2 linked regions of the Astyanax mexicanus genome follow. Each later gene encodes a partner of the first gene's protein in a complex. Links are inferred from orthologs where the notes say so. Each region holds a gene or a part of one and is shown in the gene's direction. Other genes may lie near its edges.

Region 1 (16,651 bases):
GATCTTATTTTTTAAGTAAATATCATCGGATGGACTGTTGTGGTCTTTTAGGGTGTACTCACACTAGGCAATCTGTGCCGTGCCCGGTCACAGTTAACTCCCAAAGCACGGCTCGATTAACTAGTGTGGTTGCTCTGAACCGTGCCCTGGTTGGTTCGCTTTAAGAGGCAGGCTAGGGCACGGTTCACTTGGACTTGAGCACAGTACGCATGCATTGTGAGCACGATTTGTGGGCAAGCACGGAATCAGATGACATTAGCGATGCAACATTCCTGTAAACAAACATGCAGATGGTGTTTTGCCAAATTCAGCACCACCGCCAGGAAAAGCGCACGATATGGCGTGACTAAAATAAATATGACTTTTGCCCTAAAAACAGATTGTCTCCGATTTTATCAAGAAAACGCGCTCCCGAGAGAGGGTGCTTTGCATGGTGGGGGGTGCTGAATTCAACACAACACCAGCAAGCCCACTGAGCAGTGAGTAATGTTGTGAGCGTGCTCAGGCATGGATTGTTTAAACGCAGTGTGAGTGCAGAACAGTGGGGGAGTGGGGAGGGATACAAACAAACCATGATTAGTGTGAGTACACCATTAGAAACAACTCAGACTTCAAATATTTGAATCTCAGCTTTTTTAGAAATAGAACTGTCAAGGGTCAAATAATAATATAATAATATTTGGCAGTTCTTTATTCTTCTTTATTCAGATATATTTTTATGTCTTCAGAGGTCCTTCTCATACCTTGATATACTGTTGTCTCACGCCTGTGGTTCGGCCTTTCTGTTCCTTTTTTCATTGATCTTCCCAACAAATCCCCAGAAGATCTTAATCTTAATGATGTTTCAGTTACATCAACTACTGATCGAAAACATCTGCTAAATACACATCTGGGTGCATCCTCTCAGCAGTTCTGTTAGACTGCCTGTGTTCTAGATACAGACAAACAGCCACCCTGCAGCAGGTGTAACAGATTGTAACAGACATTAGGCTGGAAAGTGCAGGATTGTGTGGGTTTGGCTGGTTTTTTATGTTTGCCTTGATCAGTCCTAAAGCAGTATCACCCCTCAAGAGTAAAGACACACATTCTTGGACTCACACACATACAATTGCTTCATGTCTCCAATTTTGTCTTAATACTTGCTCTGTCTCAAACAATGCACACAGGCCGCTCTAGAGTATGATGTAATGCAGCTTGATACAAAATAAAACCTGGATACATTCATTTGTCCTTGTAATCTATGTAAGTCCATGATTCATTTGGATGTGGGACTTCTATGAAACTCTGTGCAGGAGGAGCACATTAACTGCTGATCTTATTCTCGGAAACATGAGACTTATAAACACGCATATTAACAGTATTTAATAATTGCACATTTTCAACCTCAAATCTTTTTCCCAGTATTTTTCATTTCCAGATGTTTACATGTTTACAGCTTGTTTACCCTTCTCTCAAGAGCTCTGAGAAGCAGTCATGGTGTCTGTTTGGACGCCAGTGAAATTAAAACCGGATGCTTTATTAAAGCTGCTGTTTGGTGAATGTATTAGAGATAGGTGTTCCTGTGTAGACTTCAAAAAGTGATGTGAGGAAGGAAACGAACAGTGCACCAGAAGAACTTTACATATCTTTAGTCTGTCCCTCTTTTACTTTACTTTTTTTTTTTGTTATATATCCCCTTCTCTCTCTATCTCTCCCTCTCTCCATTACTCTTTTTTTTTTCTGCCCTTACTCGCAATACTGTTCTCTGCAGGACAGACGTGGTACAGTAACTGGCTGTGGATTAAATCTATTGTAATGGCACCCCCTGGTGTACACAGAAAAAATAATCATTATTAAAAAAAATAATAATTCCATTATTATTACTCACTTTATTATTACTTCACTGACCAGCAAAGTGGTCAGTGCTGATTGGAGGTACAGAAAAGACCCCCCCCCCCCCCCCCATAAAACCTCTAATCGTTCGCTTACATCAGTCAAAAACACATAACTGTTCTTTGTGTGTGCACATTGTTGCCTCATTAATATGTCGTAATTTCTTTTTTATTAATATTATCATTTTTAATGTGTTTGTTTTTATTTCCTTAATTTATATTTGGATGTTGGAGAAACTGAAAGTGTTACAAAAAGCAGCTTTGAGATTTGTATTAGTGGATATTTCAGGTTCTTTAAACTCAATAAATGGAAGAAAAAAAGTTTGTCTTGTCTGTGTATTATTTGTGTTTTTTCAGCTGAGAGCACAAACTCACAAACAGAAGACAACAGTGGGGAATTATCACAGAATTCTTTCCATGGTGAAGAAAAATACTTCACAACATCCACCCAAGTGAAGAACACTCCAGAAAGGAGGTTTTATCAGTATCTTACAATAAAAAGTCTACCATAAAAAGAAGACTTAATAAGAGCAAACACAGAGGGTACAAATCATTAACAGGAAGGCCAGATTAGACTTTACCAAAAAACACCTAAAGAAGCCAGACCAGTTCTTGGACATCGTTCTTCGGACAATCTAAAATTAACCTGTACCAAAATGATGGGAAGAAGAAAACTCGATACAAATCTCACCACATCCTCTGTAAAACATGGTGGTGGTAGTAAGATGGTATGGGCGTGCATGGCTTTCAGTGTCACTGGGTCACCAGTGTTTATTGAAGATGTGACAGAAGCAGAAGGATGAATTCTGAAGTGTACAGTATGGCTTCACATTAATGTCAAAAGTCGAGGGCGCAAAAATACAAGTGAAAAAAATTAACTAGCGAGTGTAAATTAACTTCTCGTGAGCCCAAATGTGAAACTAGCGAGCATAAAAAAAAGAATTGTGCGCGCGCTGAAGAAAATGTTGCTCTCGAGCTTCATTTTTCTCCTTTTGTGTGCTTTTTTCTCGTTTGTTTAATTTCAAATCCAGTGTGGTGGCATGCAGAGCCCAAATTATAAAGATTGTGTCACTCAATATCTAAATATGTATGGGTATAACTGTATACTCTGATTAATAAGAGTTCCTGTAATTTGTTTTTGAGCAGTATATAGATACATAGACAGACATAGAGAGAGTGATATGTAGTTGTGTTTAAATATAATAATAGTGTACTTGAAATGTATGCAGAATAACTAAAGTTTACTGTTTCTACTTATAGACTTATGCTATTTATAGTAAGACTACTTTTACTAAATGATGAACTTTTATGTGTTAAAATGTTACTTAAAACGTTTGTTTAGTGTAGGTGAAGAAACCTAAATAGCAAATGCGTGCAGCAATGACATATCTTGCTTTTGTTTTTACCAGTTTATATACACCTCCTCAAAATGAATGTGATGTTACATCTACAATTTAAGCACACTTTTATTGTTTTTAATGTTTAGTTGGATTCAGAGAGTCCTATTCTATTGGCAATACCGTTCTTCAGGGATTAGATAAGCTAACTGCATTTTCATATACAACAATGGCTGCAATTTAATAGTAGCTCAAGGCATGAATTAGATAGATAATAGAGATGCATGTTTTTGTGTTACAGTAAAAATATAAACACAGAACAACCATAACAGTAAAAGCCCTGTGCTAATATTGTGTAGGTCTGCCATTAATATTATGGCTAACTGTTCTGTATTTATATTCCACACTACAAGACCGTCACAGTTGTGTGACACGGTTTCCTTTCTGTAAAATCTGTGCTGATGGCGACACCTTGTGCACACAGTGCTTTATCACAATAAGACAAAAATGTTTACGCGGATACTATCTTATTATTATGAAATATTATACTAATAAATAATAAACAAATAATAATAAATATTATCAAATTATTTTGAGATCAATGAAGTCATTATTGTTTTATACTAAGTCATTATTTTGATAATATCTTATTACTCTGAGATTTAAGTCATTTTTGTGAAACTAAGTTAATATTTTCAGATACTATCTCATTATGTTGCAATGCTACGTAAATATTTTGGGATACTATCTCGTTATTTTGAGAAGCTAAGTCACTATTTTGGGATACTCATTATTTTGAGGTGAGCTAAATACAAACTTTTTCAACTCTAAATGGGGGATAAAGTTTTGTATCCATTGTAATTCTTCTAAATATCTTGTCTGTGTGTGTATAATTTACAGGAGAGTCAGAAAAAAATACAAAAGCCTGATAAAATTAATGCATAATCTGGATAAAATGTGAAGGCGAAAACTGAAAAAAGTTCCCATCAGCTGCTATACAGTCAAATTTTGACCTGAGGTGGGAAAATATATTTTTTCAAAGGCTTAAACAATCAACTATCAAAAAAACAAAAAACATTTTTAAGGTATTTGTCTCATGAAAAATATGATACAACAGTCACCCATATGTGTGACCTTAAAGGAGTACAAGCCTCAATTCACTTTTTGCCTTTACTAAAGAACCCCCCAAGAAAAACACATGGACAGAATTGTTGGTACCCCTCGGTTGCTAAAAAATAAAGGGAAAATCACAATGGTCACAGAAATAACCAAAAATACACAAATGAAATCCGACATTGATTTTGACCCTGGTTCAACAGAATTATTTTAAAAAGTAAACTCATTAAACAGGCCTACACAAAAATGATGGTACACCTGATAATGTGACCAAAGGGACAGCATCACAGGTGTCTACAGTCTTGTAATCAGTCAGTGGGTCTATATAAAGAGATTAAAGGTGAACTTCAAACTCAAGGAACATCAGTGTCAGATCGCACCATCCGTCTTTGTTTGAGCCAAAGTGGACTTAATGGGAGACGACCACCATTGTTGGAAAAAAAAAAACATAAATACCCAGACTGGAATTGGTCAAACTACATGTTGACAACCCTCAAAGCTTCTGGGAGGATGTCCTATAGATCACAGTCTCTACTGTGAAACATGTCGGAGGTTCTGTTATCTGTTATCTTTTAGTAACCAAGAGGTACCAACAAAGTCCATGTGTGTATAATGTAATATGTATAATTTCAAACCACAGACCTCCAGATGTTTTTCAGCTTTATTGCTTCTTTCAGCTCCTTTTAGGTCTTAAAAGGTCTTGTTTTTTTACTTGTCTCAGGATCCAGACTGGTCCGCCCTCACAGGCCTGTTATCTCTCCAGTGGGCCCAGGCCTGGTCCACAGCCTTCTTCACAGGTTCATTGTAGATCCAGTAGAGCAGGGCGAGTAGGATGCAGGGCAGGCCCAGGTGCAGCTCAGCCAGCACCCACAGCAGCAGCAGCCAAAGGACAGCCTGGAGGACGAGGAGAAGGGGCATGGTCCAGGGCGATGAATTCAGCCAGCTGACTGCTGTGTTGACCACCCTGCAGTTTCTCAGCTCTGTAGCTCTCTCAGACAACCAGAGGCCTAAAGCACTGTTTCTAAGCCAGGTCACCAACCTGCAGTTCAGTATGGCTGAAACCATCAGCTGGACACAAAAAAATATATATTTTTAGCCCAACATATTCTTAAAAAAACAATTAGTTGTAAACTTAAATGAAAAATTTTCCACTCTTTAAATGATCAATGAAAGCTGGGCATGGTTCAGGCTGTAAAACAGTTAGATGTATGTTTTCATTACCTGATGATTTTCCACAGGCTGAAGCTCAGAAGCTTTCTGGTCGTTTAAAGCATGTTTAGGTTTTCTCCTGTGAAAACGTCTTCTCCTTCTGGCCTGCATTATAATCAGATCCTCTACCTCCAAAGTCAGATATTCTGTGGAGTATACAGCAGCTAAGGCATGTGGTTTATGTTATGTGTGAAAAAAATAAGGGAAAATGATGAAAGAAAAGTAGTATTTGGTCAGAAACATCTGCAACGAAAGACCGTTTACAGACAGTTACTCTGATCAAGGATGACACTGTTTTGTTTTCAGCAAATAATTAATTAGTAATAGAACAAATAATTATTTTTTCTGGACTTTAATTCATAAAATTAAATAGTTAAAGTTTAGCAATAAATCACTTTAACAAATAAAATAACAAAAGAGTATTAAATTAGTGTTCAGCAGTTAACCACTTAAACAAATAAAGTGAAAAAAAGGATTAAATTAGTGTTCAGCAGTTAACCACTTAAACAAATAAAGTAAAATAACGTTAAATATTAAATTATTGTTCAGCAGTTAAAGGTTTACAGTTAAACTATAAAACTAGCTAACCTAGTTATGTTACCTTATGTTTTATGTCATGTCATGTTATGTTATGTTATGTTAACCTAAGTTACCAAATTAGTGGTTTGAATCCAGGGCCAAACAGACTGCAGAAATTAACAGTATTGTACAGAGTTTTTAAAAATAAACAAACACTTTTAATAAATAAATATCAAAATATAAATAAATATAATTAATATACAAATAATAAAACAATCAAAAAACTAATCCTAGCCCTTATTATAGTGTTAAACCTAGGTTAAACCAGGTCTAAATAATTGTTAATTGTTAGTTAGCACTGTTAGCTAACTAGCTGTTTTGTTAGCTAGCGTTAACTAGCTAATATGTAGGGACTAAAGTGTACTGCCTAAATCATCTAAAAAATATAGTTATAAATGAGTTAAATGTTTAATAGTAGGTTTAGTCTAATAAATTATAATATTAAGTCTAATAAATCTAAAATTACTCTGAACGCAGCAGAATTATGACGCTACCTGTTAGCTGCTAGCTACGTTAGCTAGTAGAGGTGCGTAGTCCAGGTCCAGAAAGTGGAAACAACTAGAACAAAATCCCTGGAATGTCCTCAAAGCTAAATGTGGTCTTTGGAATTTAAAGTATAAAACATATTCTGGTTTGTTTAACACTTTTTTTTTATCACAAAATAAGTCAGCATGTGTTTCTCTGTAGCTTTAATATAGTCTTTATTATTAAATTTACAATGTAAAAAAAAAAAAAAGATTAAATAAGAAGAGTTTCCCAATTTTAAACTGGTACTGTAATGTTTTTTTTATTATTAGTAATTCATTTTACACATATTTTTAAAATAAATTAATTTAACCCTCTGTTAATTTGTCAGGAACAGCTATGGTGTTCCTGGGCCAATTTGGGGTAAGAGGACTGCACAGCATCCTGACACCGCTCTCCCCTCCCTTCAGGACAAATACAGCTCCAGCTTCACAAGAAAAGCCCTCTGCCTGGCAGGAGACCCCATCCACTAACTACACAGCTTCTTCAGCCTGCTGCCATCAGGGAGGAGTCCGGGGCTAGGACCAGCAGACTGAGGGACAGCTCCATCCATCAGGCTGTGAGGATGCTCAACTCTTTCCCTGCTCTACCCCCATCCCCATCCTGCCCCTCAGCATCCTGAGTTAGTACTGGAATCAACACAGTACTGTAAGTTAGTACTGGAATCAGCACACTACTGAAACTTAGTACTGTAATCAACATAGTACTGAAACTTAGTACTGTAATCAGCACAGTACTGGAACTTAGTACTGTAATCATCACAGTATTGGAACTTAGTACTGTAATCAACACAGTACTGACACCTAGTACTGTAATCAACACAGTACTGTAACTTAGTGCTGTAATTAAAACTTAACTGGGGAAAAATGGAAACTGATAGTTTAAGTATTAAGTTTTAACTTTGAAAAATACAAAATTGCCTCACGCATATTTGGTGTACATTATTATCTCTCATTCTTTTAGATCTATATTTTTATCTTGCTGTACTTGCTGTAATTTTGGAAAAGAGAGTTACGTAATTGAAATCCTCTGCAGGTACTGTACACATTCAATATTGACAATAAACCACTTGACTTGGCTTGACTGCTGTACAGCATGTAGAGCATCCAGGCCAGCAGGGGGCGCGGTGCTGCCGTTAGCGGAGCCCGAGCTTCCTCCACAGCTGAGGATGTGTCACTCTCAGCCCGAGAGCAAAACAACAGTTTGGACCGAATTTCTCTCTGATTTTACCCACATTTATTCATTTTTCTAACATTTGAAAACCGCCTGCACCTTGTAGGTAACACATAAACGGGTTTATAATTTTAGGCGAGCATTTAGAGCCGCAGAAACACTGTATTTTACTGTATTTGCTGCGTTTTTTGGCGCTCCTGCTGCTGCTGCTCCTTAATGCCCCAGCCCGGGGCAGATTAGCCACAGGCTGAGCTTTGCCTCGCCGTGTAAGGATGTCCTGCTGTCTGCAGGACTTCTGTCGGGTCCAGGAGCTCCGGCAGGTCCGGGAGTTCCTCTTCCCCAGCCAGAAGCCAGCTGCTGCGGGGCCGGCGGAGAGCAAAGACCCAGCAGGTGAGTGGAGGACAGGAGGCTCCTGGTTCCTTGGTTGTCTTGTTTTCTGGTTTTCATTTTAGTAACTGAACTTAATTTTTAGTTTTATTTTATCTTATAAGTGTTGAAAATATTGTAAAAGGTAAGGAGTAGTTGTTAAAATAAAGAGCATGTGCAAAAAAGAGTTCAGAAAAGGGAGGAAGAACACACTTTGACCCAAAGCCCCCCAAACAGCTGCAAGCTTTCGTTAGCTGAAGCTAGCTGTTGTTAACAGTTAACTAGGTTAGTGTAGAAAAATCTGTCTTAGCTTTTTGTGTTGCATGTTCGTTGATCCAAGGATTCAGACGACACGGAGATTGAGAGTGAACAAGTATGATTTATTTCAGATCTGGGAAGAACATTTCAGATCTGGGAAGAACATTACAGGCATGTCGCCCCGAGTTCTTCTGAACCTCGGCATTTCTGACTCCATCCTTTATACCCTTTTGTGACGAACCTAGTTGCTAGGTGGCTTCTCATTTTTATGCTTATCTTTCCAAATATGGTATACTTCAGTTTTCCAGACTTTCTTTAGGAACCCGAAAGCTGTCTTGACCTTTGCTTCTGAGAAATCGTAGGTGGTCAACTTCCCTTGCCAAGGTGACAAGGGAGAATCAATTTCCCCTTTGCGACATGTCTTAAGGTCAACAAGGCACGGTTCCTCTCAATTCATACTCTCTTTTATTGATAATAATTTTACTACATCTACAGTAAGATTAATTAGTTAGTATATCTTTAACAAAGCTTGAAGCTGCATGTATAATTTTGTAGACGCAATCTTCTAATGCAAGGTTACACAATGTACTTCATTCACTGGTTTCTATACGGCTCTCCCCTGGTTGACCTGTCCCTAGAGTGTAGGAGTAAAAGAGGAACTCTTCCTAGAGCCCAGGAGTAAAAGAGGAACTCTTTTAGTCTGCTAGCCTCTGTAACCTCAAGATGTTTACCAGTAAAACGAGGAAGCGTGCTTTCTCGGTTGGGCCATTCAAATGTCATTGCTGATTTTATGAATCAAATAATAACTGTGTGTACGTGTGGTTTAGTGACTAACTCTTGATTCAGTGATTAATGATTAGTAGAATATAGATTTATAGCTTTCATAGATCTATTTGTGTAATATGTGTTTTAATCATAGTTTAAGAAATCATAGGTTAAGATTTTGGCTATCATGATTATTGTAAGCTAATCTTGTTATTTTATAATCTTCCACATTAGCTAGCATGATTTTTCTATTTTATTTTTTTTAACTCATAGTACTAACACATATATGATAGCTAAGCTAGTTTAGTAGCCTGGATTAAAGCTGCACAAAGAAAAGGCCTACAAAAACACGAAAATAGAAAAGCAGTAGCCAAAATAAAAGGTGCTTGTTTGAATGTTCCATTCCACCTTAAATCCTACAGTAGTTCTTACCAGAATCCTACTAGCGCCAGACTGTTAACTTACTTCTTCAGTATTTAAGGTGGCATTGAAAGTTCCAAGCTTTAGCTTTTATAAAACATCAGTAAACAATATTGTGACAGTAAATATACACGTTCCTGATGATTGCCAGTCCTGCATGACTCTGATATAGTTCTGATGAGCTTCAGAGCTAAAAGAAACAACATGACCATCCATCATCTCTACTGGACTGGGCTTAGATTAAGCCTAATCCTGGTCTCAGTTGCTGTGCCATCCAGTATTGAGAAAAGGCCTTTGTAAAGAAAATCATCCCAATATCAGTAAAAGTGGCTGCTTGCTTAGTCATGCTAGGTTTAGCAGCTACTGGGATTGTTGGGATTATAGGATTGGTTCCCCAGTCCTGGATTTTAGAAGTATTGCATATCCTAGTATTTTCTCTGCTGTAACACACCCTCTTAGCCCTAATGTTGATTAGCTGGAGATACAGCACTGGAAGAAATTAAGAGACCACTTCAGTTTCTGAATCAGTTTCTCTGATTTTGCTATTTATAGTTATATGTTTGAGTAAAATTACCATTTTTGTGTTATTCTATAAACTACGGACAACATTTCTTCCAAATTCCAAATAAAAATATTGTCATGTAGAGCATTTATTTGCAGAAAATGATAAATGGTTGAAATGACAAAAAAGATGCAAAGCTTTCAGACCTCAAACAATGCAAAGAAAACAAGTTCATATGCATAAAGTTTTAAGACCTCAGAAATCAATATTTGGTGGATTAACCCTGGTTTTAATCACAGTTTTCATGCATCTTGGCATGTTCTCCTCCACCAGTCTTACACACTGCTTTTGAATAACTTTATGCCATTCCTGTTGTAAAAATTCAAGCAGTTCATTTTTAAGTGGTCTCTTATTTTTTTCCAGAGCTGTTTGTGGGGTCTGTTGCTAGTAAGTAATGGATGCTTATTGGTAGGGGTGTGCCAAATCATGTTGTATCATATTTAACAATATTGAGTTAGTATTTTATACTCATATGAGCCACCAGGGTACAGCCTTTTTCCAATTAACATCCGGAGCACTGACTTAGTGGTATGATTGCTTTGGCCTCAACCATTACTCTAATACTTTATGGTCCAGAACTGCCTCTTTTGTGTATCATGGTCTAATTATTTAATAATTAGGGGAAAAAGCAAAATCGACATTCTAATAAAAATGGTTCTGGCTGTCATAATTATACTGAAACCCTTTTTAGTGCTATATATAACTATTTACATAAGGTGCAATCTAGAGACACCTTTATAAGTAACTTCAGATGCTTTACTTCAAGATTAAGAAAAAAAGAAAACATTGATAACGCTCCATAAAAGTAGAATAGCCATATTACACTGATTACCTCTAAAACAAGGGTCTTTTAACATAAGATGAAAGCAAGAAGAATTTGACTGTGTAGACAGAACAGAAGGGTTCATGATCTAAGGCAATACCTTGTCATCTGTCACACATGGTGGAGGCAGTGGCATGCCATGGGCATTAAAATAATTTGTGTTTATTGATAGATTGGTTACTGATATAAGCAGAAAGTATCAGAAAGTATCTACAAGCACTACTTTCCTTTGATCTTCTGTGAAATGATGCAGAATGAATATACTTCACTGTACATCTGGTTAAAGCAACTCAAGTGCTTCTTTAGCTTTAGTGTCTATTGATCTCATCATTATATAGATTATTGATGAAATTGACCCCATGCCAGAAGACTGTGGAGTAGGAATAGAACGGTTCAGAATCAATATTAATGAAGCAATATTACATTGTCAAACTGTCAAACATGGTGGAGGAAGTGTCATGGCTGGTAGAATGGGTTGTAGCACGCTGAATTCCTTGAAAGTGTTAGACATCCATGTTTAGCTTAGAAATAATGATATGCTGGTTTTTCATGGATGGGATAAAGCAAACCAAGAGCTGCCCAAGATAAAGTAGGTCAGGCCAGCCAGGTCAGCTGAGCATGTTTCTTTACTTACTGAACACAAAAGTAAAGGAGGTAAGCAACTGAATGTGGCTGCAGTAAAAATCTTGCAAAACATCTCAGGAGACGAAACTCAGTATTAAGTGATGTCCATGGGTTCCACCGTTTAGCTGCCCTACAGTGACAGAGCAAGCGAGAGAGAGAGGGATGGAGGAAGGGAGGGAGCGAGAGAGCACTGTGTTTGCCCTTTACTGAATGAGTCATCCTGAACGACTAGAATATATTACACAGTGGTAGAGGAAGAGAACGATTGAACGATTAAAGAAGAAAAGGCCTTCTGCACAACCTGCTTTGGTTATTCTCTGTCCAATTCATTCATAAAATGATTCTGAATCATATAGAATGACTCCTAATGAATCAAACCCTGAGAGTCCCTGGGGTTCTGAATCATTTCTCAAAGGAGCAAATTTATCTGAATTGTTGTGAGGTTGGTTATTTACAGCGCTCACATGAACAAACTGACGTCACAGTCAGTGCTGCTGCACACACACACACACACACACACACACACACACACACACACACACACCTGCAGAGGATGATGCAGACTGACAGTCAGACAGTGAGATTCACTCTGACAGAATGAGCAGCTCTTCTGGAACAGAGAACAGCTTTCAGCCCCAGAGAAAAGACTGCAAGGACATGGACACACACACACACACACACACACACACACATACACACACACACACACACACACACACACACACACACACACACACACACACACACACACACACATGCACATCACTTTTATGAAGGTGCCTGTGCTTCCACACTGCCATATTTAACACATCTCTCTTTGTGGTTCTATCTCTCCCTCTTCTTTTTCTCTCACTCTGTCACATTCACTATTCACACTTTCCCTTTTCCTCTCTCTTTCTTCTCTTTGTCCTTTTTCCTCTTTCACTCCTTTTCCTGTTCTTAATCTCCTTGTTCTTCTTTCTCGCTTTCTGTATTTCTGTTTCTTTCTCCCCTCTTTTCTCTCCCTTTTCACTTATTTCTGCTCCTTCTCTCTATGCTTTTACGACTGTTCTTTTTCTTCTGTATTTTTCCTCTGTCTCCTTCCTGCTGTCCCTTCTTTTCCTCTCTTCCTCCCTTCACCCCTCTCTCTCTCTCTCTCTCTCTCTCTCTCCCTCCGTAGAGAATGAGTTGACGTGGGATGACTCAGACTGGGGATCGTGGGAGACGTCAGCAGAGAATAAAGAAGATGGAGAGACGGTCTGTCCTCAGTTTTAATCTGTCTGTTCCCCTGTTTTACCCTCAGATCCACAGTGTCACCAAAGCATCACTGCATTATTTTAGCTCAGATTATTTATAAGTATACACACATGCACACAAGAGCTGATTATTTTATTATTACTGTTTATTTTTGATTTAGGGATTGGCAGTATAACTGCAGATTTTGGGTTACACAGTGCCTCATGGATATCGTTAGTGCTTAAAGAACTGTTTAATTGAATGTAGTGCAGCACACTTTGAATGCAAATTATTATATTTAGTATGGGAGAGTATTTGAATAGCAATTTGTTTTTGAAGAATCTGCCAGTACTAATGCATTTTGTCAGCAATCACATCTATCTTCATAAATATTGTGTATTATGAAGACTGAAATAAATGTAATAATACTTTCTATTGTCCTACGGTTGCATCACAATACTCTCTGTATGTGGTTCTCTCTCTCTCTCTCTCTGCAGGCTGAAGAAGAGGTACAGCATGGGCCGTGGCTGCAGGACTGTGTTCTCTCTATCTCTCCGTGCTCAGACCTCATGGTCATCGCTCGAGAACATAAGGCTGCATTTCTCTCTGGTATTCACATATGCATATATATATATATATATATATATATATAATATATATATATATATATATATATATATATATATATAATATATATATATATATAGGTATAAGTATATGTAGCCTCACGTTGGCTTTATTTCCCCCTAGACATACAAGTATATACCGGTATTTTAATAGACTTACATTACTACCTAATAGGCTTACATTTATTCCTTTATTTCCAGTTATACAGCCACTATAAATACTTCTTAAGAATATTTATGAATATAACTTCTATAAAATCTTAAGAAGAACTAGTGCGATTAAACGCAGTTAATCACAGAATACTGTTGTGATAAATCTGATTACATTGTTTTATTCTGTTGACACCACTAAATGTGTCATAATTCATGAAGAGTGAATTAATAGAAATGTTCCAACATGACTTGAACTAAAATCTTAATACGTTGACTTCTATTAATTTTTTTTCTCCAGTAAAGTTGACAATTTAATGATACTAAGTATATATGTTACAGGAGTGAAATACTGTAGATTTATATTTATATATTTATGAAACTATTTATTTATATAAATAGCTACATACCTACACACACCTGCTGCTGACTGTTCCCATACTGCTGACTGATTGAATGCTGTATTGATTTGTAGCTAAATGGCAGAATGATGACTCTGGGAGGGAGGAGATGACCCTGGCAGTGTCCTGGAGTGGTATGCTGAACGCTGAAGAGGGGTAAGAATGGAACTTATAGCCAGAACTAAGAGGAATAAAGCTATTAAATACATATTTTTGAGTTCATTTGTGATTTAGAACATTAAATACCCAGTAAAGGGTAGTGCTGGGCGATATAACGATATCGATTTGTTTCGCGATAATTTTTCCCTCGATGACGATGATAAGCCTGTGCAATAGAATTCGATAAACATTCATTTCCATTTCCGTCTAAGTGGCGCGGCAAACAACGAAAACACAACGTGTAATCAATCCAGAAGACGCTGGAGCAAATTAATAAATAGTTAAGAAAATTGTAATAGTTATTCTCATGCATGCAACAAAAAACCCTAAAGAATAGTGGAGTATGGCCCGACACACGCAAACAACCATAGTGTTTGGACTTTGGGAATAAACGGCCGCACTGTTCAGCACGTTTTAAATAAATTTTAAGTAAATTTTAAGCACTAAATGTAATTAATTCAATTTATATTAGGACCTCGGGGCAGGTGCTGCAAAAATGTGTATGTGGGGCGCGGATTAAAGGAAGAGGTTTTTTTGCGGAGCGGTAACAGGACAAAAACACCTTAAGAATGATGTCTAAATGACTTTCCTCTAATCTAATATAATTTAACATGGTTTAAGGATATAAAATAATTTCTAAACAAACGAACTTTTTAATATTGAGCTTATGGCCCAAGTGCAAAAACACAAAATCATTTATCATTTAGATTATCTGCCTGAACGCGAGCCCGAACCCGAGCTTGAACGCCAGCCTGACTCAGGCGCTGCATGAACTCGGGCCGGTCGAGAACACCGCTTTCCTCTCAGATTAGGCGGAAGAAAATGGTCTTTTTTTTAATGTAACAAATCACACTGTGATTTTTGTGATATTTCCCCAATTACAGCTCAGCTGCGCGTTTAAAGCTCAACGCATGAATTAATCGGTGCGCTGTGCGCCGCGCGTGCTCGCGGGGGATTTGACGCGTCTGTCAAGCAAGTTAATGGACCGTTTTGGGGGCAGAGATTAAGAAGTACAGCAGGTACATCTCAGATTTGTAGTTTAATGCTCTACTAAATTACTGGCTTTAAAACTGGCTCATGATATGGTCGGTTCTGGCTGGATTTTTTCCTGCCTACAGGCTGCATTTGACGGAAAGCAGCTCCTCAGTCAGACAACAGTGTCAGCATACAAATCGTGTGCGTTTCCTACAGGACAAACCATTTAAAAGTGCAGATAAACTCATTAAAAAATCACACAGTGTCTGTCTGGCTTAAAATACTTTTAATAAGGTACAGCTTTTAAATTAATAAATCAACATTCATTAAAAATCCGTGAGAAGTTCTGTATGCTAAATGACAAGCTAAGCTAATAAGCTAATAACATTTAATAATAACAGAAAAATAGATATGAATTTGGAAAATAACCAACTAAAGTGAGCTCAAAATACAATAATAAATATAATCTAACGAATTTCAAAATATAAATTAGAAATATTGAACTTCAATATTAAATTCAACTTCAACTACAAAAAACGCAAGGACCGATAGAACATAACGAACAGAAAAAAATAAATTTGAAATTGGAAAAAAAGTTCAAAATGCTAAAAGAAATAAAACCTAACGAATTTCAGAATATAAAATCTAAATATTGCACTGCAGCAGTACAAAAGCCTAAGTGCTTAAACAAACAAACCAAAAAACAGCCTATCACAAATCATTTTTTGAGCCCGACCCAGCTGAGGAAAAGGTGGGAAATCTTTTTTTTTTCCGGCTGGGTCTTGGAAAACTTTGTGGTGAATTAAAGGGGCCGAGTTGCAATTTTTGTTTTACTTTAATCAGTTTTTAATCCGTCTTTTTAAAAACAAATATTCCAATATTGGCTGCCAATCAGTGCCCAATATTCTGAGCTCAAAAAACGCTATTCGGGCCAGCCCTACTAATCTAATATAATTTAACATGGTTTAAGAATATAAAATAATTTCTAAACAAACGAAATATTTAATATTGAGCTTATAGCCCAAGTTTTTTTTTCAGTCATGGAAAATTGGAAAAAATTGGAAAAAAGCCCGAGTTCATGCAGCGCCTGAGTCAGGCTGACGTTCAAGCTCGGGTTCTGGCTCGCGTTCATGATTAATTTGTTTTTTTTTAAAACTAATATTGGAATATTCGCTACCAATTACTGCCAAATATCCAGAGCTCAAAAAATGCTATTCGGGCCAGCCCTAATAATTATGGAGATACAGAAAAAAATATTGTGATAAAACTTCCATCACTCCCTTATTCTCTCACTAATAAAAACAAACCTTTAAGTGTGACACAAAGTGATTTGATTTATATCGTGATACATATCGATATCGACTGATATGGAAAACTATATCGTGATAAGATTTTTTCCCATATCGCCCAGCTCTAGTAAAGGGTAATATGGCATTTAGCCCCGCCCTGAAATATGATTTGTGATCGTCTCCAAGGAACACTGATCTGTAGTTAATT
Region 2 (16,697 bases), on another chromosome or scaffold:
ATAGGTTTGTAGAATGTTCAGCTTCGCCAGGTGTTGTGAGAATTCTAGCTCTCGGTCAGAATCTGACTACCCTTCCATGTCACGCACTCCCCTACAGAAGAATGAGTGTAAAAAATAATCTATCTTCAGATTTATTTTATTTATTTTTATAAATAAGAGTTAATCTACTGTTTACTGTTTCAGTAAATAAATGAATTCCAGTCTAAGTCTATGTGTTCATACTGCTGCTTGAGGCACCTACACGGCAAGAGAAGTCAGATGTCAGCACAACACCAGTTTTTTTTTTTTCCTCTGGTTTGTTTAAACACTGCCTCAACTTCTTGTAATTGAAATCTAAACACACCATTTAGTAAAGTGCTTTCACACTGCATATGAACCGGACCATGGTTCAGTAGATCCGGACCGAGACTACTTCATTTGGTCAATTTAAACTCTGGTCTTTTGTTCCGGACTGTGGCACACAGCCCCTTTCACTTTGGTTCAGACCCAAACAGGTGAAAGCACATTGTTATATTATATAGAAAAGAAGGTTATGTCCTGATCCAGTTTCTTTTTCACCAATCCAACCTGAGTATTAGCCAACACTGATCCTATTATCTTTATGTTTGTAACAAATAATAACAAAAGTAAATAAGCTAATAATAAATGCATAAAATGCATCAATATATGAAATAAATGTTTTTTATTTATTAAACGCTGTATATAATATGCTGTGCCAGACTTTAAACTATACATCCAAAAGTTTGTGGATCCCCCTTCTAATAAATGCATTCAGCTACTTTAAGTTACACCCATGTGTAACTGAACACACACAGCTTGTCTTGTTTATTTTAACCAGCTATAACTCAAGATTAAGGACATGGCAAGAATATACTTCCACACTCGACAGACAGACAGACAGACAGACAGACAGATAGATAGATAAAGCTTTTTTGCAGCATGGTCAAAAACTACTAAAAACTAAAACTGACTTACACACAAAGTACAAGCTATTGAAAACCCAAAAATCAGTGTCTCAGAAAATTAGAATATTATATAAAGACCAACTGGTACTTTTGACAGTGTGCCAAGTCCTGCTGTTGACCAACACCAGCAGATGACATGACTCTTTAAACCATCACTGAACATCAGTTAATTTTGCATTTCATTTGTAAATTAGGGGAGCAGAATCTGGAGGAAGAGTGGAGAGACACACAGTCCAAACTGCTTGAGGTCTAGTGTGAAGTTTCCACCAATCAGTGATGGTTTGGTCTTATATAATATTTGCATTTTCTGAGAAACAGATTTTTGGGTTTTCATTGGCTGTAAACATTTAAAATAGATCCCTCTGTGTGTAATACATCTATGTCATATAAGAGTTTCATATTTGAACTATAATTACTGAAATAAAGTAACTTTTTTTAATGATATTCTAACATTTTACATTGTGAGCCTACATTACACTATAGGGCGCTCTGCTAGAATGCACAGCATTAAAAACAAAGAAACAGAACAGCACGAAGCTTGGAATATCGCATCATTCAAATCTATTATGCTTGTACGGCCCCTAATTCCCATGCACTATTTTAGGCTTGTGGTTTCTCACTGAAAAAGAAGGAAACTGTTTTTCTGGCTGTAGCCTTTGGTTTACCTGTCTGACTTTGTTTATCCTCTTCTTAAGCTCCTCTGCAGAAACACCGCCAGCAATGACCTCCAGCGGAATACCATTCTCACCTATGAAAAAACTGGATGGAATGCACACCACTGGATCTGCAGGGTACCGGCATTAAGGAACAATAAACAGGCTTAAAATGAAGAACTCTGACTTTCTCTTTCACTTACTCAGACCCAGTCCAATATTTACACTTAAAAAAAAACTGTTGGAGAACCTTATTTAGGTAACAATACTGCCTCCCCTGTGGAAGACTAGGGTTCAGTTCATTGGCTGGACTAATAAGAGTCCTTGAGCAAAATTCCTAACCATACATTCCTCCATTTGTTTAACATCAAATATGAATGTGAAAAGATTCTTCCATTCATTTAATGTTCATTTAATCCACATTCTTTGAATAGGTTGAAATACTGACATCTGAAATCTGTTTTAGAAAATTAAGTGTAATGGGATGGAGTGCTACAGACTAGAAGCTCTCCAGCCCGGAGGGATGTTGAACCCAATTGCAGAACAGTTGATCTCAAAGAACATAAATCCTAGAAGAAAGGAAAAAAATAAATAAATAGCACACCGCTCCTCACGCGGGAGCGAACCCATGTCTTTAGGCTCCCAGTCCAATACACTAACGCTGCCTCGGCTAGAGAATTGGGACACCGGGGGAAAAAACGGGGGGAAAAAACGGCCTTATAAGAAGATAGAGAGCTCAAAAAAGGGCGGGAAAAAAACGAGAACAGGCGGAAACTAAAGTCATGCCGAGTGCACCGGAGAGACAGAGAAGAAATGTGAACAAAAGCTCACCAGAGAAGCATTTTATTGATTTTTTTTCCAATATCAATCATTATAGTTTACTGCCGACCCCCTAGTTGCAATCCATGCATTTACTGAAACATAAGTAATTTAGACCTCACCCCAATTACAGTAGAAAGGTACTGCTTGATTACTCCATGTAGTGGCACTAAATCAAATGAACAGGGCAAACCTGCAGTGCAGATTATTGGTTGCAAAATTCTGTGAAACTGACACCAATAAATCCATGAATGTAGGTATTTTCTTATTCAGGAGCATTTTATCCTCTTCAAGAACTCAGAGCCCATTAAGTATCGTACAAAATTGTATTGTGATATATTGAGTATCATTGAATTACAGTATAGAATATCATCATTATAGCAAGCAACGTATTGTGATAATACTGTATCATGGGATGCCCTGTGATTCCCACCCCTAGCAATAATACAGGATTTTACTCAAATATAACTTTCCTGCACGCTTCACCAGAGAAACAGAGTGCAGTTAGCAGCATGCCAAGCCCAAAGTACCAACAGTGGTGGTGGTCTTCTCCCTATAACAGTCAAAGGAGGATTACATTGATTAAAAAATGCTAAGGAATTCTGCTTTGAAAGCTTCAAATAAGGGCTCTTTACAAAGGATACATATCTGTGAGAACTGGACACACGTCTCGCTGAAAAACAAACAGAGAATTCATTTCATAAACAACAAGTCATTAGTCATTTTCACGTCATTAGAGCAATATTCTCCGATCAGTTCCTCACCTTTTGGCGTCTACTTTAATTGCAACACAGCAGTTGTCTGTGAGCTCTGCTACCTGCTCATCTTCCCAACTGAACAGCATCTGCTTGGACTGCTCATCATCTCCTAGATATGTTTAAATGAGAAAATATCTATAAAAACAGCATCATCAAGATGATTTAACAAAACAAGGTGCCAACTTTTTAGAGATAAACATTTAAGTCCCAATCATTTCAGTTCATCAGACCTGATTTTGCAAGAGTCAGCTGTGCATGTCCATCTGATGCCCCAGCAAGCTAAACAGACTAACCCAGCTTGCGAAATCAGTTATGATGTAATTTAAACGCTTAAAAAGTCTGTAAACACATGCTCATCCAAAGCTTCTCCTGATAGTTGAAACCAAGGGTATTAAAAGGAAAAAGCTTGCCACAGCTGTAGAGCTTCTGCTTTTCAGGGAAGGCTTTAAAATAACTGCTGGAACATTGCAGCAAGAAAACTGGATTCAAAACTGGATAACATATTAATCACATTCTCTGGTATTACTTGTTGCCAGTTGTTGCCATAATAGAATTATCTTGTTCTCAGACCATACCAAGTTTGGCTGTAACATTAAATATCTCATTACATATAATGAATGGGCTGCAACAACTAATCGATTAAACAGATTAAAATAAGTTGTTGGCAACTACTTTAATAATCGTTTAGTTGGGTCTATGTTATTTTAAGTACAGTTGCTACTCCCTAATGTGGGGCAGTAAGCCAACCAAAGCCGAGGCAGTAAAGCAACATTAGACTGGATGCATGTTGGAGCCACAGGTGAAAAAGATTCACGGTAAGTTTGTAGTGAGTTAATTCTATTTTTTCTCTCACTTAATGTTTTTAGAGCCTGCTAGAGCAGTTCAACAAGAAGTCTAAACAAGAAGTCTAATTTAGCATTTTTCCTTCCACCTTAAATGTGGCACCACAACCAGCAGTTCCAAAACAAATCACAGTTTTAGTCAAGCTAATCTTAGCAACAAGTATTTTTAACAACAATTTTTTCACTCACTCAATGTAACTACAGCCTGCTAGAGTGCTTAAACAAGACTTTCTCATTTCAGTTTTAGTAAATGTATCTCTCATTTGCATTGACAGGGTTTTCAAAACATTTTAATAATACATTTAAAGACTTTTTCAAGTTTTATGACTGTCATAGCATGTACATGTTCAAATATAAATATATATTTCCTTTTCCTTGTATTCTAATTATTCTTATAATTCTTATTATTTTATTCTTTTTATCTGATTAATAATCGATTCATGGAAAAACAGTCAAAAGATTAATCTTATTAATAAGTTAATACATTTTTGCTATACGGCACTCAGGCTATACCAAGTTATTGCCATAATGCAAATAACCCATTAGGCCACACCAAGCTGTATCTATTAATGTATCTTTTTCTCAGGCCAATATCACTTACCTCATGCTCAGAATTAAGTTTTAGAAACATAAACAATCTAAATGTCAGAATTATGTTTTAAATATATAAAAAAATAAAAATTTCAGGATTTCATTGTGAATTTAGCAATTCTCCTTCTCAGAATTGTTTTAAATACATAAAAAATCAAAATCTCAGTATTGCATTGTAAATATAGCAATTCTCCTTCTCAGGATTAGGTGTTGGGTATACAGTTGCATCTCAAAACGTTAGAATATAATTAAAATTTTACTTGATGTCATAATTCAGTTTAATATATTTTGGTACTTTTGGCAGTGTGGCAAGTGTGCCAAGTACTGCTGGAAAATGAAAGCTGTATTTCCATAAAAGTTGTCAGCAGAGGGGAAAAATAAAGTGCTGTAAGATTTAACTGAAAAACACTGCACTGACTTTTGACTTGATATAACACAGTGGACCAACACCAGCAGATAACATGGCTCTCAAGAGCATTTTTTGAGACACATCTGTATAGTACACTCATTCTCAGTATTAAATTATGGATACAACAATTTTTTTTTTCTCAGGATTAAAAAAAAATACTTTAAAGTCTCAGTGCTTCGTTTTAAATGCAGCTTTGAGTTTGTTAATAGTGTAAAAATAGAGATTTTTCTGCGTGTGCAATGCTATGCCCCTATCACTAGCATTGTAAGCCTGATGGAAGCATTGTGTTCGTTAACTGAATGATTTAAAGGAAAATCATGAAAATGGTTTATGCTGAAGAATTCTCTTAACACACAGAGAAAACTGTGAACAACAGCTAAACTAGTTAGCTAGCTGGCTGGTTAGCTTGTGTTTCAGGATGACAGCAGGCTAAACAGATCAGCCAGGCAGAAAGCTATTCTCAGCGCTAGCTGCTTTACTGTTAGTCATGTAGCTGTAAACACTAATAATGTAGTTTGTGGGTATCTCGAATGGTTAAAAACCCATTCGGTCAGTGTTTAATGTCGCTCCGTATGTCCCTCTCCGCTGCTGAGGGCTGCTGTGTTGTGTAAGCTGGATTCTCCGGGTTTCGGCAGGCCTGACTCAGGGAAGCTAACACCGAGGTACGGCGCCGTTCCTGCTCGTTTACCTGTGATCACCACCACGAACACGGAGCTCCGCTGCTTGGAGGAGGCGATGGCCGCTGGGATCGAGCCCTCAAACCAGCGCATGATGTCTGGATGGTCTGTTCTGGTCACTTTTCTGTGGGTCACTTCTGTAATCGCATCGATGCTGTCAGACTAGCCAGAACCTTCAGAATCATCACGGAAGTGACGATGGGGCACGGGGCAAAGCATGCTGGGAGTTGCAGTCTTTAGAATAATTCAGTCTGTAGAAGAGAGTTGTTTTTGTTCCCAGTTACTCAACATCACTGACAGTTGTGGAATATTTAGTAGTAAGTAGTGAAATTTCACCACTGGACCCCCATTATTTCACTAATGTTTGTAGAAGCAGTCTCTCTGTATACCAAGCTGCTTGGTTTTATACACCTGTGGCCATATAAATGATTGGAACCTGAATTAAATTATTTGGATCGTTGAGCGAATATTTTTGGCCATGTAATGTGGGTGATGCATGGGCTAGATGGGTTTAGGTGGGTGTGGACTGTACATGTGTTTTCAGTGGCCTTCAGTTGGGCTAAGCAAAAAATACCTTAGGTTAATCTTACATTGGTCCTATCCAGGGACATTTCAAGTCAGATAAAATCTCCTGGAATCTAGAACAAGTGGCTAGAGTGAACATAAACGTGCACACAGGCAACAGAGCCTTTTTTCCCCAATCATGTGTAAAAAAGAGGGGGAGAGGGAGAGAAAGGCACTCCCCTCGTGTGCATGTTCATGAAGCGCATGCAAAACAGAGAGGGTTCTGATTGGCATGTTTTCTCTGCAAAGAGTCTGAGTTATCCAATCAGTTTTTGGTGTGGGCAGGCAGGGTTTTTATTTTATTTATGTCCTGGAAGAGATGCATTCAATGAGTAACAGAAAGAGCATCATGGCTCCCATCAAAACTCATTTCACGTCTGACTACTGTAAAGTATATCCATGTCTGGTAAAATAAAAATAAAAAAAAGTGAAAGTTTGCCCGCTGAACAGTTAGTTACTGGGGACTGAATGATTGTGAAAGGCACGTTGAAGTGAGTTAATATATACCTAAAAAAAAAAAAAAAAAAAAAAAAAAAAAAAAAAAAATATATATATATATATATATATATATATATATATATATATATATATATATATATACAATACATAATAATATACAAATATTTTTATAATTTATAACAGTAATTTGCTGAATTATCTTTGATTTATCTTTTTGGTTTTAAGTATATTTGATATATGTTTCTGTGTTGATGATATTTTTAGTGTCTGATATAGAGCAGTTTCTAAAACCCCATTATTAAAAGTATGAACTACTTAACCTAAGCTTCAATCCTCTTTAGTATTAATCCACATTAAAAATGTGAATGTTTCTTTGTTCTTTTAGAGGATTTGAACTCTGATTCTGAGAGCATGTCACTGCCTGTGTGGAACCAGCAATTTCAGTCACTTATAACAACTAGGTGGAACAGTTTTACCAGCATTTCAGGACTATATTAACAAAGCGATAAAGAACTCAACAACAAACACTAACAATTGCTGTTTTAAAGACTGTAGAGTTGATCATTTTCTTAGCCATAACCATCAACAATAAAGGTAATACTCGCTTAGAACAGATGTCTCTGTGTGTAATACATATATAATGTATGAGATTCACATTTTTGAACTGAATAAATAAAGTATATTTATCTCTCTGGACAGGTGATCTCTGGAATACATTTCCCACAGTGCACTGCGGGGTGGGAAAAAAAATAATAAACAGAGACCGTCATGGCGGCGGACAGTGATGTGAGTCTGGGTTGATCAGAGCTGATATATAAACTCAGAGTTAAGGGTTATATTATTACCGGGTTTTTTAACGGGAGTATAACCGCGCTGTGTGTGTTTTTATTTACAGCCCGAGTCGGAGGTGTTCGAGATCACCGACTTCACCACCGCGTCCGAGTGGGAGAGGTAAGTAACGATCAGCTGATGATCCTGCAGCTCGGGTTCGGGTTGAGTTATGGGTCAGACAGCTCTCAGACTGAGCTCCACCTGATACCTGACCCAGCAGAACCCAGAGAGAGAGCCTGATAAACAGTGTGAGCTCTGTTCTGCAGGAACACGCTGTTTAGAATCAGAACTCTGCTGCTGCAGATACTGGAGCTCTGCGGCCTCTGACAGACCCTGCAGACACACAGACAGGCTAACCTAGCTTAGCTAGCTTAACTCTCCAGCTTTTACTAATTTATTTTACAGGATAAATGACACTTTTAGATTGCATGTGTTAAGTTAAGGTCTTTAGTTTGTTTTAATGTGTAGTTTCGTACGCAAAAATGCAGTTTTGAGGCATTTTGAAGCGTTATTAGCTAACCTAGCTAGAAAAATTGCACTGGCTAGTTTTGAGTAGTCAGCAGTGACTTGTGATGACGTGTGTAGGGGTTTGGGATGCTAAAAGTTTATATTTCTTATTTATTTATTTATTGAATTGTGTTAATTTAGGGTTTTAACAGGGTTAATATTGCTACTTTGATAGGGTTAATATTGCAGTGTTTCTTTAACATACTGTAAACAACAAATTACTTTAACCACCCATATAAGCTCATTATATTGATGTCCTAATCCTGTTATTGTTTTATTTGGTAATTGCTGTGCTGTTATGAGTGCTGTTATGCCAATTATACACTAGACAACTTCGAAAATGTAACATTTAACAGACTAAACTATGACAATTTCTCGCATTTAAAGACAAGTCACAGACTTTTTACTTGCAGACCAGTCACAAGCTAAGATTTTGCAAAGACTCTGAAACTTGCAGGTTCACTGTTTTCAAGACTGCAACTAAAAACATCAACTATCTTGTGGTGTGTTTTTTCTAATTATGTGAGCATGTGTTTATTTGAAGTTTTTTCTGTTGATGTGGTTTGTAAAAGGTTGTGGGTTTACTAGCTTGTAGGTAGCATAGCAAGTGGTAAGGAAACATTGGTTCTTGGTCATAAATAACCATGGTTTCCGAGCCATCGCCAGAGCCTTATGCATGTCCAGTAACCGTAAACATTCTCGCGGTTGCCTTATGGCTTCCTGTAGCTCTCCTATTGGGTGTTGACATTGTTCTCATCACTATTTGAATGAACCAGGTCTCAAGACGTACTATAATATTAAAAATGGTTGATTTAACCTGAACGCCAGGAGGAGAAAAAGAGTTACTTAAACCATCATTCCTAACCACCTTACACTGAACGATCGAGATGACGCGACCGCAACTCAGCTCTAGCAAGACTCTCATGATTTTATCCAAACACTGGAAATGTATCTGCGACAGTATATTCGTTTGAAAATTGTTTGGTATAAGGTTGGCAGTAGCGGTAAGACTCTCAAAGGCTAATTGTAGGTAGTGTTCCTCTTGGTGAGAGATTGTTGACTGTTAGACCAGCCTTTATAGTGCACTTGAAGGTATTTTGTAAATGATTTCAGGTGTAGTCAGTTTAAACACTGAGCTATGCTGTCCTACAGCCCATCAACAGTCTATTTTCATGCCTTACATCTGTGTTGTTTAAGTAGCAACAAAGTTTGTGAATATATCTACACTGATGGGTATGATGGTCTTAAAGTGAGGTGTGTTCAGGTACATTTCTGGCTTATTACTATGTTGGTAGTGGAAAACAAAGGTGCTCCACTGACTAATTAGAAACTAGTCAGATGTCAACCATCAGATGTTCATCGTCATCTTGGCAACATTGCTGTTCCCATAAGTGACCTGCTCTCGCACCTTCACAGCACAAACAAGCTGGTAAATTTTCTTTGCTGAGAACTGCAGAAGAGCAGTGTCATTAAAATAGCTATCCGCCAAAGTCAGAGCCTACCTTGCTCTTAAAGAGAATGGCAAGTGTCCTGCTGATTGGTGTGTTTCAAAATGCACAAGATGTACTTTTCCCGTCATTACGATAGCAAAGGCACACTTACACTCCCTAAAGCAAGCTGAAAATTGCTAAAATAGCATCCTGTTTTTTTTGCCACAGACAGAAGGGTGATAAGGTGCTGCTCTATATAAAGACTCTTATAGATCAATTTTGGCCAGTGTTCCTCTTGGTGAAAGATCGTTGTGTGTTTTGCCCAGTTGACAGACTTTTAAAACTGAATAATTTTTAACTAGATGTGAGCAGAAGTGAATGGTCCAACATTTGGTTTTTATTTTACACATATTGGGGTTTCGAAGACTGAAATTAGATTATCTTAGGTGGATTTGATCAACAGGTGTCTCAGGAATATCCCCATCAGATTGCAACATTTGTTTGACCTTTCAGGTCACCAGTTTTTTTTTTTTTTTTTTGGGGGGGGAGGAATAATGGGACCAGCTATGACAGAAGCTGTGGCAACTCATGTAACCCAGTTATATTGTTGCTATTACTTAAAAAAAATCTACCATTTCTTAAATGATAATTTAACAGAATAACCTTTCAGTGTATGGAATTTGTGTGTGACAGTAATTGTATGTTATAGGATTTAGAGCAAATTCATATATTCTAATATATCCCAGACATTTAAAATCGAAATATTGCCATTTACATTGATTCCATATTGGTATGATTTAATGTGTTGTGTGAATCATTTATTGGGTGCTGTTTGGGTCCATGAAATTAGATTTGATTTTAGGAATACAGACACTTGTATGAGTCTGTATGTTTAGAACAAAGACTAAATATTCAAATTCTGTCCTGTTCAAACAAGCGGAAGCAAGGTAGCAGAAGATCACATGTCCATGTGGTGAACATGAGGACTTTTGATATTGCTTAAATAATTAGCTTTGGGTTTTACAGCTCAACACCCTGGCAGTAATCCAGGTGTGGGTTTGATTGCACTGTTTGTTCAATGGAGGACTGACTGTGTATGTACACAGGCTGTCAAGACTAAAGACGCTGTCTGTTTACATATCACTGTTGTCTCTCAGTGTTTGTAGCCTGAACACAGGAAGGATATGAAAATGATGGTCAGACCCCAAAATAAACCAATGGCTAGAAACCATAAAGGTTTTAAATTACGGCAAGATAAAATCAGTGCGACTTGGTTATACAAAACTGTGCAGATGTTTTAGTCAATTCTTTCATCAGTAAATGATTGTACTGTAAAAACCCCAGTTTTAATTAGAACAGATGAAGTTACACATAAATACAGTAAAAATGACAAGAATTTAATTTTAAAGCGAAGTAGATGAGTTCTTGAGAACAAGTCTGAAGAACAAAGGTTGATCCTGGATTTCTCTAGGATGCCCCAAACAGCAGATGTGTTCATTTGTATTACCGGCTCACCTTATATGCCTTTCTTAAGCTCTGATTAACTGAACCTGGTATTGATATGAGAACTATAAATAATACTGTACTTCATTGAAGATGTTTTAATAAACATAATAATGAAGCAGTGTTCTCTGCTGACAACCTTTATGGAGATGCAGATTTCATTTTCCAGCAGGACTTGGCACACTACCCACACTGCCAAAAGTACAAATTGGTCTTATATAATATTCAAATTTTCTGAGACACTGATTTTTGGGTTTTCATTGGCTGTAAAAAAAAAACAAAAAAAAAACGCTTAAAATAGATTACTTTGTGTTGCATATATATTTTTATATATAGTTTCACATTTTGGACTGATTTACCGAAATACAGGAACTTTTTAATGAAATTACAATTTTTGAATTTTTTATTTTCTTGAAATATTTCTCAGTGTTTTTTTTTTTGTTTTTTTTTTGTTCATATTGCCAAGAACATAGGTATCGGAAAAATATTCTGCAGTATTGTGATATTATTTAAGGGAAGTATCGCACTCTAGGGCAGATATCTCACTATGCTCAGTTAACCTTTGGTGTTTGATGTTCATAGGTTTGTGTCCAGAGTTGAGGAAGTTCTGAATGACTGGAAACTGATTGGCAGCAATGTTGGCAGACCACCAGAGAAGGTAAATTGTCCCCCATTTAATTTCATTTCTTTACATTACATTACATTACATTACATTTGGCAGACGCTTTTGTCCAAAGCGACTTACAATAGTCAAGTACAATGTAAAATAAGTTTACAGGTAAAAACATCTTTGGATAGGGATAAAAGGAGGTCAAAGGGAATAATAGGATAGAGGAGTGAAGCAGGGGAAGAAGGAAATGAGGTTAGAAGTAGTTAGTGTGTTAGAGGTGTTAAGAGAGTAAGTGCTCTTTGAAGAGCTCTGTCTTCAGGAGTTTCTTAAAGATAGCGAGAGATTCTCCTGATCTGGTAGTGGAAGGTAGTTTGTTCCACCATTGGGGAACTCTGTATGAGAACAGTCTGGATTGCTTTTTGTGAATGTTTGGCAAAGCGAGGCGACGTTCATTGGAGGAGCTCAGCGGCCGGGAGGTAGCGTAAGCCTTCAGGAGTGAGTGCAGGTAGGAAGGAGCCTGTTCTGTCATCACCTTGTAGGCGATAGTAAGAGCTTTGAATTTGATGCGAGCATCAACTGGTAGCCAATGGAGCTCAATGAGCAGCGGGGTGACATGTGCCCGTTTTGGCTGGTTGAAGACCAGACGTGCTGCTGCGTTCTGGATCATCTGGACATTTTACTTTACATTTATTTATTTGTTAAATGCCTTTAATGAACAGAAAAAACAACCTGGAATGGTATTCTAATAAATCAATTATTTTTATTTATTTCGATTTTCTGTCTGCTTCTACTCTCTCTGGTATAGGGTGAATACACCACTGGCACATGGGAGGAGAAGTCTAAAGAGATCAACTTTGCTGATTTTAAGTTCTCCGTAACGCACCACTATCTGAAGCAGGATTCAGTGGAGAGCGAGGGGAAGGAGGATGAGGAAGAAGGTATGGCCCGGATGTTATCAGATCACTGTGGGGAGAGATACTGGGCAGATATCTGCTGCTTTGACTCTTCTGCTCTAATGTCACAACCTGTTCTTCTACAGATGCCTTCCCTCTGGCCATGCAGGACCTGCTGTGTATGAACAACGACTTCCCACCCAGGGCTCACTGCCTCGTCAGATGGTTCGTACAACTGCACAGAACCACTAATAGAGCTATATTGGCTAGAACACTGCAGGGTTACCATGGTTATGGTATGCTTCCAATCGAAGTAAATGGAAAGTACACTTTTTTATCTAATCAGAACAGTGGGATCTAATGACATGATCTAATAGGCAGAGTTTAAACACAACACTAAATGAACTGCTGTCTGACACCAATCTTTACATGCAAACTTATAGTTAAAAATTGATAATGTGTTCTTGCGAATGGATATAGTATTGCAAAACGTTATATTGTGATATGCTGATATATTGTTATTTATTTACACCACTAACTACTTTATATTTTTTATAACTAGCTTTATATCAGATGTGTACACTTTAAAAAATAGTATTGCCAAACGGGCTCTTTAAAGAGCAACTAAATCCTAAACCATATTTTTTTCCATGTATAGCTGAAATGTGTTTCTTACAAGTAATGGAACGCACTCCGGCTTAAACATTTCCTAAACATAAAAAAAAAACTTTTTATTGTGGTAATTTCCGTTTCTGCAGCTCCCAGGTTCAACTGTGCTATTGTCGTGGATGGTGTGTCACAATATGCAAATCTGTGTAGCAGTAATGTAGTGTAATAGTAGCAGCCAAACCCCTTTCCTTTTTTTTTTTTTATATAGCCTTTGCTGCATGTTGGCAAAATACCTATTGAGCCATCCACTACTTTCTTCCAAGCTTTATTTTTCTTTAAATTCCCAATTGCCCTGTATTTTGTCAAAAAGGCTTCATATAAAACAAAAAAAGCAGAAACAGAGGTCAGAATCTTCTTTGCCTCTGAGACCTTGCACTTTTCTACCATCGGTGCGAGGATTGGGTTTAGGTCTAAAGATATATATTGGCCAGTCCATCACCTTTATCTTTAGCTTCCTCAGCAAAGCAGTTTTATTTTGGATGTGTGCTTGGGGTTGATCTCATGTTAAAAAAACTGCCATGCGGCCCAGTCTCTGTAGGCAGGGGATTGTGCTCTACTTCAGAATGTCCCAGTACATGTGGGAATTTAACTCCCCATTGCTGGCAGTACTCAGGCTGCCCCAGAACATGATGCTACCACCACCATGCTTGACTGCAGACAAGAAACAGATTTCTTGGTACTCCTTACCGGGATGCTGCTACACATGCTTGACACCATCTGACCATCTCTCGGTCTTGACAGGTGTGTTTGTATAGTACAGTGCAGATCTTAGAGCATATCCTTTTTGATTTTCTTGTAGGTATGGAGTTCGTGAGTTTGTGGTTATATCTCCTGGGACGAACTGTGAAGCCATCATCAGCGAGTCCAAGTGCAGCCTGCTCCTCAGTTCTGTCTCCATCGCCCTGGCCAACACTGGCTGGTAAGTAATGGATGATTTTATTAGTAACATTAGCCCATTACCATTCCGCCTATTGTGCCCCTACAACTTCTTAAAATCTTAAAATATTTATTATTTTAAATCTTAAAATAATGTTACAATGTAGTAATGTAATTTCCTTATAACAGACTATAATAATTCACTAAAGCAGGGGTCGGCAAGTAAGTTTGGCCGCGGGCCAGATATTTACCAAGCCATTATGTGGCGGGCCACAAAAAGCCCAGAGGGTTGTTGAACCCAGTTAAATTCAAAGCATGTACTTTGTTTGCACTTTGTTTGTTTGTTGGTTTGGTAGCTAGCATAATTTTCCATTCCACCTTAAATGATGCAGTAGATAAATTCTGAGTGATTTAAAGTGGAATAGGAAATTTTGTTACAGAACTTTATTGCTTCTCTGCATCACAACAAACTGGCAAAGTCACCCATGGAGCACCGCTGGTAGCTGCTAATGAAGCTAATGTTCCTAATATTGATTTATTTATTTTGATAACTGGTTCTTTAAAGGTTGTCCCAAGTTTTTTTAGGTAAAAGATTTCAAACACTTTCCCTTTTAACTCAGCCCCAAGGGGTAAGGGTACAAAGCAATATACACTGCCACTATGATTGAAAGATTGCTGGTTCGAATCCCGGTTATGCAGCTTGGCATCAGCTGCCAGAACCCTAAGAGAGCACAATAGGCTTTGCTTTCTCTGGGTGGGTAAATAGCGCTCTTTCCCCACATCACTTCTAGAGTAATGTCGATCAGCACAAGGCGTCTGTGAGCTGAACGAGTCTGTATCAGGCTGACTTCACATGTGTCGGAGGAGGAGTGTGTTGTGTTGTGGCATCACTAGTGATGGGGGATATACAGCTGAATGGGTTGGACAATCAGCCTAGATAAATGGAAGAAAATTTTAATTTTTCGAAATATTTGAAATGTATTTATTTATTTATTTTAAAGGGTGCAAAGCAAAAATGAGATTTTAATAAAGCACTAAATGTTCATTATCATTTTACAACATAAAACATTGGAATATATGCAGACTTATAGAGCTGCCTAAGTGCCAGACTACAGACGTTTTTAGTGTGCTTGACATTGCCCTTACAGTGTGAAATTGCCGGTGTCTAAGCCTGTAATTATCAGAATCTGGGCCCACTTTGTACCTCACTGGGAGACGGTCATTTTGGGAAATTGCTTTCAGAGTCTGCTGCTGTTAAAAAAGAATCTTCCTTTATTACTTTGTACTTTTCTCTTACTTTCAAAAATCAATCAAAAAGTTAGTGTTCAGAAGTCAAGCACTGTTTATAACAGCATCTATATTAATCACATACTCCTTATTTACTATAAGACTGCAGCTTCTGTAACTTAACTTCTTAGCTTCTGATTACAGTTTTTATGAATCTGTGGTTTGTGTCATTGTGACAGTCTGACAGTAACAATTGTGGAGTGTTTCTTATCCAGTATGAACTTATACATTAATAACTGTGTAAAAGAGCTTTACGATATTGTGCGGGGGGAAGCAAATTCGATATTATAAAATACAGAAATTCATGAATCAGCTTTGGCAGAATATTAATTATGCGATCTGTGCATCAATGATTTAAGTAACATAAATGGTATTGGGTAGAAATTGTCATTTAAATCATGAGCAATGTGATTTTTTTCTTTGTATCAAACTGCAAAAAGCTTTATAAATGAAATTTTATTGCATGTGCTGTGAGGGGACTATTTCAACATTCGTACAATGTAAATTGTAATAAAGAGATATATTGTGCAGCCCTAATGTGGAAGTGTTTAAAATCCAGTATGAATTCTAACAATAATACTTGTGGAGTGTTCTATAATTTCAGTTATGAAAGTTTATGAAATTGCAGTGTGTGTAATTTTCACAGTTTGAGAAGTGACTTATAAAACCCAGAATTAATTTGCAGTTTGAGTAGTTCTTGCAGCCTGAAAAGAAAAACTGTAGATTGTTTTATATCCAGTAAGAATCAGCTGTTTGTGTGGTGTCTAAAACCTGATTGTAAAAACTGTGGAGTGGCTTTTAATATCCAGTATGAATTTAAGTTGTTTGGGTAGTTCTTGCAGCCTGAAAGAAAAAAAAAACTGTAGAGTGTTTTGCTTATAAGCAGTTCCTAAGCTATACTGACTCTCGGGCTGCGTATTATCTGGCTGTTCTGGTTGATCTTTAAGCAGATGAACTGTAGCTCGGTCAGTAAGTGACAGCTGTGAGTAAGTGTCTGTGCGTATGTATGCGACACGCTCTCTGATCATTACTATAAGCCGAGGAGTCTAATTCAGTGATGGATCTGGTTTTGATGCACATTGAAGCCTAATTGCCTCACATTTTCGCCATGACCGCTCTGCCACAGTCGCTTCACGTTATACATGGATGTTCCCAGTATGGGTGCGGATGTTCTCCTGCTCTGAACTGTCACCTTGGGTTTCTCAATCTGCCAGAGAAGAACACACTCGCAGTCAATTACTGATTCAGCTTCTATCACTCTGCTCTTCAATGCTGTGTGCGTGTGTGTGTGCGTGTGTGTGTGCGTGTGTGTGTGCGTGTGTGTGTGCGTGTGTGTGTGCGTGTGTGTGTGCGT

What was found.
Region 2: the proteins of rab3gap2 (region 1) and rab3gap1 are in contact, whole or in part, in a cryo-EM structure (PDB 8VYB), measured with the Homo sapiens proteins. The link is inferred for Astyanax mexicanus from reciprocal best matches to the Homo sapiens genes RAB3GAP2 and RAB3GAP1. Residues at the interface, in NP_036546.2 of Homo sapiens: Arg197, His198, Pro199, Gly200, Ser276, Pro277, Phe278, Asp279, Met281, Lys282, Ser285, Asn286, Ile287, Gly289, Phe290, Asn291, Ala292, Ile294, Arg377, Phe378, Gly379, Leu380, Pro381, Asp382, Arg385, Cys395, Thr397, Leu398, Arg407, Arg415; in NP_036365.1 of Homo sapiens: Thr19, Ser21, Trp23, Glu24, Glu142, Ser143, Asn146, Leu147, Leu149, Ser150, Ser153, Ile154, Ile169, His170, Trp173, Arg174, Met176, Arg187, Asp189, Glu191, Met192, Val193, His194, Leu195, Arg196, Pro199, Tyr202, Ile211, Ser214, Lys215.

The regions. Positions count from the first base shown.
Region 1 is NC_064421.1:42,288,859-42,305,509, reverse strand, and holds the start of rab3gap2 (rab3 GTPase-activating protein non-catalytic subunit), read left to right. Parts: upstream 1-7,777; 5' UTR 7,778-8,082; coding exon 8,083-8,200; intron 8,201-12,787; coding exon 12,788-12,864; intron 12,865-13,340; coding exon 13,341-13,452; intron 13,453-14,094; coding exon 14,095-14,176; intron 14,177-16,651. UniProt on the Homo sapiens protein: Regulatory subunit of the Rab3 GTPase-activating (Rab3GAP) complex composed of RAB3GAP1 and RAB3GAP2, which has GTPase-activating protein (GAP) activity towards various Rab3 subfamily members (RAB3A, RAB3B, RAB3C and RAB3D), RAB5A and RAB43, and guanine nucleotide exchange factor (GEF) activity towards RAB18.
Region 2 is NC_064418.1:15,184,998-15,201,694, reverse strand, and holds the start of rab3gap1 (rab3 GTPase-activating protein catalytic subunit), read left to right. Parts: upstream 1-7,447; 5' UTR 7,448-7,505; coding exon 7,506-7,523; intron 7,524-7,632; coding exon 7,633-7,688; intron 7,689-11,590; coding exon 11,591-11,666; intron 11,667-12,423; coding exon 12,424-12,556; intron 12,557-12,657; coding exon 12,658-12,736; intron 12,737-13,979; coding exon 13,980-14,099; intron 14,100-16,697. Other genes in the region: ubxn4 (UBX domain-containing protein 4), read right to left, coding at 1,631-1,749, 3,082-3,110, 3,202-3,304, 5,726-5,807. UniProt on the Homo sapiens protein: Catalytic subunit of the Rab3 GTPase-activating (Rab3GAP) complex composed of RAB3GAP1 and RAB3GAP2, which has GTPase-activating protein (GAP) activity towards various Rab3 subfamily members (RAB3A, RAB3B, RAB3C and RAB3D), RAB5A and RAB43, and guanine nucleotide exchange factor (GEF) activity towards RAB18.